Linked DNA regions of Drosophila melanogaster. The protein of the gene in region 1 interacts with the protein of each later gene in a pairwise test. Each region holds a gene or a part of one and is shown in the gene's direction. Other genes may lie near its edges. The genes, in order: CG4956 and fd96Ca.

Region 1 (3,374 bases):
AGTATGGTTGAGACTGAAAGGGATCTTAACCTAAAAAAAGAATATTCTCAACGTAGAATAATATTAATGGCATACCTGGCACACGTGCGCCAGTACTTACAATCATTACTTATCCTGAAATGGCAAAACATTAAATGGAGTACTAAGAAGGCAATTCTATAAGCTTGTGACATTCGAAATTGCTCAGATTTTGTGTTCCTGCTAAAATTTTGAATCCTCTGTAAGTTAATTCCTCTGAGTATAAAGTGAATGGGAGCACTAGTATATTATTCAGTACAATCATAGTCATTTTTTTTAGCTAAACAATATTTTAATTGCAACGTCATAAAAAATATACTCAACATTGTTCATACCACGCGGTATTTCCCCGTCGATTATATGTGGATAGACACACTTTCATCTGGCTTTTCACGCAGGTGCTTTCCTGGCTTGAGACACGCACATATCTAATTTTACACATTTTCCAAACTCAATTACATTCCAAGAAGTCGCGCCGTGAGATCTGGCAGATATGGGCTAATGGGGGAAAGTTATGTGGGTTGCCCCTACCAGGTAATTGCTTGCAAATTACACAGTAATACTCCCGACCTTCCCAGGGAAATAAAAACGAGGGGAGACAAAATGTGCAAACTCCTAACTGCGAAAAACTTTGCGGCACAGCTGTCTGTAGTTGAGAGTCTCCGCTCGTAATGAAATCAAACAAAGACACCGAATGCGAGCTGACTGCCATGGGGGCAAAGCATCTTAAATTAGCAGCAAAACTCGGCAATTATGCGAGAACTTGGCCAAAAGCAGTTGCCAACTCCGCAAGCCATTCTCATTTTTTGTATGCCCCTCCACCTACACCAAGCAAATGCTAATGACTCGTAGTGCCCACAGAAAGTCAAAGAAAGAGCTAAGCGAAAGTGGGGGAAAGTCAAGCCACAGGTTGACTGACAAACACATCGACGGCGCCGAGTGGCTGCCGGAAATGGCTGCGTCGAATAGCAGCACAAAATGGCTGTTTGTTTGCTTCCGGTCTAGGCCAAAGACGGCAAACACATTTAGCCACGAAGTGAGGAAAGTCCCGCCCCGCCCCATCGTACATATTTTATGCAAACGAAAAGCAAACTGCCACTCTACTTTACGGCAAAAAGAAAAACCACCTCAATAGGTGTGCCATACACCTCAGTGAACTTAAAATGAAAAACCGCGTCCTCACCAGCTTTCCCACCCGACCAGGCCACATTCAAAATGCTTAGTTCATATTAATAATTCATAAAAATTTATGCGAAATAGACAACATTCGTTCCTGCGGTCTAAACCTGGCCGACAGCTGCCATTTTGCGGTCGCTGGGCTGATGAAGTCGACTTAACCCAGCTGTTTCCTACATGTATTTGATATGCATTCCTCGTTGTTTTTATTCTGCTCTTTGTTTATACAACATACAGCTGCTGCAAAATACCATATTTTGCCATGCTGATGCCCTTTTTCCCTCCATTGTTTTTTTTATTTCAATTTATTTTCTGCTTATAAGCTTGCTTTATAAGCAAGGTTTTGCCTATACTGCTTTGAAAATGAAGTAAAAATTTGAGAAACTTTTAGGTGAAAACATTCCATAAGCCAAATCTTTTGAATTGTAGAATTCACTTAGAAGCGCCACTTAAATAAAAATTTTCTGCCTTCACAAATGACGCCAGCAATTATAAAACGTAATTTCGCAATAATCCGCTTAAAAAGGAAAAGAAATTGAATTTGAAACCACCCACCAAAGTACACATACATACAATGCCAGATTTTTACAATTCAGTGGGTGATGCGATTATGTCAGTTAGATACATATTTCCAAATCAAGGCAGTTCTGGTGCCCAAAGTCTATTAAAAATAATTTATTTGATAAATTTAACAATACGTCTGTCATTTATAAATGCTTCGATTTCGAGTTTTATTAAGATCTACTTGCGGTTGGAGTAGAAGAATGTGTTTTCGAGCCGAGGAAGGGTTTCATCGTCACTTTCAACTACATCGCATAAAAGTTATGGGCCTACTTCATCCGTTTTGTGCAATATTTTTACTCTGTCTGATTGGATTGCTGTTTGTCTATGAATTATGCTACGTTTTGCCGCAAATAACTGATCCCCATGGTATATGGCACAAATTGTGTTGGTTTATGGGAATTTATACAGTCATCAATATATTGGGCAACTGGTGGCTCGGCTGTATGACCAATACCTCAGTCGATAGCTTAGTTCTGGAAAGACAGTATCCTGTGGCAGGTGAGGCTCACCTGTGGCACTACTGCTCCACATGCCAAAAGCTGGTGCCACCGAGGTCCTGGCACTGTAGTTTGTGCAACATTTGCATTCTGAAGCGGGATCACCACTGCACCTTCTTTGCCAGTTGCATTGGCCATAAAAATCAGAGGTATTTCCTTGCCTTCTTGTTTCACCTGAGCTTTGGCAGCGGACAGGCGCTCGTCTACAATGGCATTTTGAATTGGACAAACAAGGCCTTTTTGGTCGTCGATCCTTTGTTGCTAATGTTCCAGGATACAACCCAAGATGCTGATTTCAAATGGAAGTACACAATCGCCAACCTTTTCAAACTGAATTTATTTCTTTTTGGCGTCCCCCTCTTCATGTTCGTCTTTCAAATGATAATGGTATATCGGAATAGTACATGCTATAAGATGCTCGATCGCAGCTATGATGTTGGTTGGAGAAGAAATTTTGATATGGTCTTGGGAAAACGGCGCTTCTGGATTTTTTTCTCTCCAACGATCTCAAGTCCTCTTCCTACCGATGGCACTCAGTGGTTCCAGAAGCAGACAGTGTAAATTTTGTTTGTAAAAACTTTGAATATAAGATAGCGAATAAATTCTATTATAATATGTCGGGTTGGCGTTTCTTCTTCTGTGATGTAAATGTTTCTATTTAGTCTATAATTTACAACAGAAGTTTTCAAAATCCTAAAAAATGTGCTACGTGAATAGATTTTGCCATTACTTTGCCAATCGCTACCCGAAGAACTTTGTGAGGATAGTGCATCCACTTTCGATAGTTTTCGTCCTGTGCAGCACAGCTTTCTTCTTCTCACTGCAGATGTTTTACATTGCGCCCAAAGTGTTTGGCGACATTGCTTACAAGCTCTACTGGATATTGGTCACCTTCATAACGCACAACATACTTGGTAACATGCTGGCCTGCTATATGACTAGCTCATCGGTAAACACCTTGTCCAAGGACTCCCGATGCCCGAATCCAGAGGATGAGCCCCTGTGGCACTATTGCGAATCGTGTAAAAAGCTGAGATCGCCACGATCCTGGCACTGCGTTTTGTGCAACACCTGCATTTTGAGACGGGACCACCACTGTATATTCACGGGCACTTGCAT
Region 2 (4,638 bases), 700 kb from region 1:
AAATTATTACAAATATATGGAACACTTTCTATCTAACAATAAATGAAGATAGTTATAATAATAGTATTATGTGTACTTTATGCTAATTTCTGAGCCCATCTTCGCTATTCCTCAGAACTGGCAACAAAAAGCAGGCCAATAGTTCATGTGATTAAAATTCAATTATACCACTGAGCAGCTATTTGCCACTGCTTAACTACTCATTTGCCTTCGTGTTAGTCAGATATCATTAATTTACACTTGGTGAAGAACAGGAAGAATGCAGACTCATTAATAGCTAATGCGATTTAATACACCCATCCGCGGGATTGCGATTTGCTGCTCTATCGGGCGCACTATTAAAGACAATTATCCATCCTAGTGTTAAATCGAGTCTCGCCAAATCGCGCTGCTGCCCCATCAGCCCCATGAGCTCCATAATCCACTGATGGCCCATACCCATGCCCATACCCATACCCATACTGATGCCCACACCGAAACACAGAAAACACTAAATACAAAACACAAAATACCAAATACAAAATACAGGCCCAAACCCACACGTTCGCTGAATGCGGTGGCAATGTGCTTTGGCTTTTACGTTCTGTGGAATCATGGCCGAGTCGCAAGCAGGCAAATTAACTAACAAGATTATGAAAACGTAAAATCAGTAAATCGGTAAAGTGGTTGTAATTTTCTTTTTCAACACCTCTCTCGCATTGGGCCGTTAGCCAGTCGCGGCCTGGCCAGAGTCCCAGTCCCATACCCATACCCACTTCCAGTCCCAGTCCCAGCCATGGCCAGAACCAGCTGCCGGGGCGGCTGCTCTTTTGTCCGGAGCAGCAGCAGCAGCAGCAGGAGCAGCACCAGCGCTGAGGCAGCGGCAGCGGTAATACCAAAGGCAAAGCTAAATAAAACCGACGAGATACTCCCCTCGTACACGGCGAGAAATCGTGTGCGCTTTCATTGAAGTGCATGCAAGAAAGCTTTTGAAAATTTATTCCTATGTTAATAACTTCAATTACAAACAGCGGCTAGTTGCATGCAGAAAAAGCTTACTTTTTACAACATCTTATTTATGGTACTGGTAGTAATAAACTTAAGCAATAAAACAGTCAAAAGTTTAACTAGCACAATAATAGATTTGTATTTGATTTATTATTATAATGGATTTCTGATTTGGGAAAGCCTAACCACCAATCTTTTAGATGAACCTTGCACGTGAAGTCCGAATTATATGATCCCCATATAAGGAAGGTATAAATAATAAATAAATAATTCGAAAAAAGAAAATCCTTTAAAAAGTTCTGACCTTTATCAGTATAGCAATCAATATGTTATAGGCCTCATAGCATAAGTATTTAGATAGCAGGACTCATACCTTTATTAAGAATATATGATGCAGCACTCGTAGATCTAAGGGATTGTCGAACTCATTCGCTCGTTTAAACTTCGAATAGGGGTATGGGTTTTTCGGCCAGTGTACCGCCTAGCCGCAACCACCGGCGGGTCAGGGATAGGGGTGGTGCAGGGGCAGGAGCTCTCCGCTGGAGCGGCGCAGTGCGGTCTGGTCAGACTGGTTTATTCGTTTAGTAAATCTCAGACTCTTTGCTTTGGCTCTCCTCGCCGCTTTGAAGTTTCGCCGTGGCGGAGGGATGATGCATGTTCGCATCGCGGTGATTGGGAGAGAGCACGGGGGCAATGATGTGAGTGATTATATTTTGATTGCATTGCTCACTGTGGTTGGTTGTACGTACGGACCGCGGAGGACTGCAGACCTGGACGACTGCAAAACTGGAGGACTGCAGAACTGCAGAACTGCAGAGCTGGAGAACTGGGGACGGCATTGCTCACTTAGTACAATAACCGGCACGTCGTCTGCCAGTCTGCTGAAACAGTAATTTTTTGTGTGCCGTGTTCTTCGTTTGTTGTCGTTTGTTTTGTTCCCGCTCTATCGCTATCTTCGCCCCAAGTTCGCCCCAAGTCCGCTCCAGCTTTATAGCCCACCACCACCATCACCACCGCCGCTCACGTATTCGCATTCAGCTTTTGATGGTAATTTGCCAGGCAGGCGGAGGGCGGCAGTTGGAGGGCGGCAGGGCGCACAGTCGGATGGGGAAACCTCAGTGAGAGTGCTTTTCCTTCCAGAGTGCCAGTGCCAGTGCCAGTGGCAGAGCAGAGCTGAGCTGCTCCAGTGGTAGTGGTGGTGGCGAAGCCAGTGTCGTCGCCGGAGCTTATAACGAGCGTAGTTCTTGCGCAGAGTTTATTGCCGACAGTTGGCGCGATCTTGTTTGCCGTCGCTTCTTGTCGCTATCTCGTCCATATCACACATCGCCATGCCGCATCGCCACCGTGCCCCAAATGGATGTTCCTCGCTAGCAAATCCACTAGCTGCTCCCGCTTATGTTCCTGCGACGGCACGCGGCATTGCTCCTCATTGCGCCGCATGCGTTTAGGATATTCATACGTTTGACGGACGAAAATAATACGAGTGATTAGCAAGTGCTTGAGTGCATTCATAAATCAAGTTAGCCTGCAAATATGTAACACTGTGATGTGCGGAACAAATTGAGCCGAAAACATTGTGTAATAATGCCCCGGCCCTCGCGAGAATCCTACGGCGAACAGAAGCCCCCCTATTCGTACATTTCGCTAACGGCCATGGCCATCTGGAGTTCGCCGGAGAAAATGTTGCCGCTCAGCGATATCTACAAGTTTATCACGGACCGATTTCCGTACTACCGCAAGAACACCCAGCGCTGGCAAAATTCGCTGAGGCACAATCTCAGCTTCAACGATTGCTTCATCAAGGTGCCCCGACGGCCGGATAGACCCGGCAAGGGAGCCTACTGGGCACTGCATCCGCAGGCCTTTGATATGTTCGAAAACGGCAGCCTGCTCCGGCGGAGGAAGCGCTTCAAGCTGCACAAGAACGACAAGGATCTGCTCAACGAGGAGCTGACTGCCCTGGCGAACCTCAATAGATTCTTCTTTACCACCCGTAACGGAGGCAGTGCAGCGCACATGTCGCCGCTGGATATGAACAATGCGGCCGCCATGAGACTGGATCCACTGCCCAGGAGCACGGCGCACATGCCAAACTCCCTGGGTCCAGGTGTGCCACTGCCGCACGTAATGCCCGCCTCCATGTCCGGTGCGGATCACACGAATCTGGCGGACATGGGACTGACCAATCTGCCCGCGCTAACCAGTTCCGAGATCGAGGGACCGCTGAGCCTGCGACCCAAGCGATCCTTCACGATAGAGAGCCTGATCACGCCCGACAAGCCGGAACATCCGTCGGAGGACGAGGACGACGAGGATGACCGCGTCGATATCGATGTGGTCGAGTGCAGCGGTATCAGCCGCTATCCCACAACGCCCGCCGCCTCCGAGGAGTATATGTCCGCCAGCCGATCGAGCCGAACGGAGGATCCCCTGCCGCCGATGCACACGATCAACGCCGGTGCCCACGTGCCGTTTCTGCACTATGCCACGGGTGCCAATGTGGCCGGACTGCCAGCGTCGGGAATACCCAATAGCCCCACCACCTACGAGCTGGCCATCTCGCATCCGCTCTTCATGATGGCGGCGCCCATTGCCAACATGCACAACATATACTACAATAATGTTACCCTCGTCGCTCCGGCGCAGCAATATCGGAGCCCCGAGGTGCAGAATAGAATAGACAACGATATGCGTACGATATAGATAAGTGGCAACAAGCAGGGTAGTAACGAAACACACCTATGTACTATATAGCATTATTTATGAACGATATATGTATATGTATATTTATGTATGTATATCCATCCAAACGTAGTTCCTTTTGTATTAAGATTAATTGTAATAGGACCAAAACATATGGTATACATTCATAGGCGTAGAAAGGCTTGTAAATACAATTTTATTAGCTTGTATCACATATCCGTATTAGTAAATTATTTATTTTATTTTTATCGAACCTAGTGCATAGATCGATCCTTTTGTGAAGAATATAAACATTTAAACAACTTAAAGAAGTGTTTAGAAAAATCGAGCGGAAACAGTGAAATGTAGTGAACGTAAGTAAAGTTTAGTTATCTAGCTTTTTTTTCAACTTTAAGATCTTCACCCAGCTTTATAAATGAAATCCAGTCTATATACATTTTTAGCCCCAAAAAGTATTTCAGTTATGGCTTCGAGTTTGTTTGACTTATTCAATTATAATCACATTAAAACGATTTTATATTTTATAAAAGCGGTTCTTAATTGAATTCTAGAATATCACAATTTTTTTTATTAAATTTCGAAAATCGTGTCTTTTCAAACAGGCTTAAGCTTCTTTGGTTAAATCTGTAGTTTTTCACAAAAGCCATTGAGATTATAAATATTTTGGAAATATTCCAAATCTTTAGAAAGTTTTTAGCAATGTCCTTATTCAAAAAACGGGGTTCTTCTTGTTACAAAAGTAAGTGTTATATATTTTTCTGTCTTTTAAAAAGGAAGTAACATCATTTAAGATTTGGTTATATTTTAATCGAAACATAAAACGAAATTTTTCTGAGAAATGCTTTTTATCCCGCTTGTCCCTTAACTTTTACTAACTTTAAAACTTTTATAACTTTTTATTAACTTTTTTTTTAATAATGTGTTTGGAACGATCTAATTTAGCAAGTG

Evidence for each region.
Region 2: the proteins of CG4956 (region 1) and fd96Ca interact in a two-hybrid assay, tested with the Drosophila melanogaster proteins (one large-scale study listed by BioGRID).

What each region holds. Positions count from the first base shown.
Region 1 is NT_033777.3:25,776,763-25,780,136, reverse strand, and holds CG4956 (uncharacterized protein), read left to right. Parts: upstream 1-1,831; 5' UTR 1,832-1,907; coding exon 1,908-2,816; 3' UTR 2,817-2,869; downstream 2,870-3,374. Other genes in the region: CG17195 (uncharacterized protein), read left to right, coding at 2,956-3,374.
Region 2 is NT_033777.3:25,080,981-25,085,618, forward strand, and holds fd96Ca (forkhead domain 96Ca), read left to right. Parts: upstream 1-1,703; 5' UTR 1,704-2,571; coding exon 2,572-3,690; 3' UTR 3,691-3,898; downstream 3,899-4,638. UniProt on the Drosophila melanogaster protein: Involved in development during embryogenesis.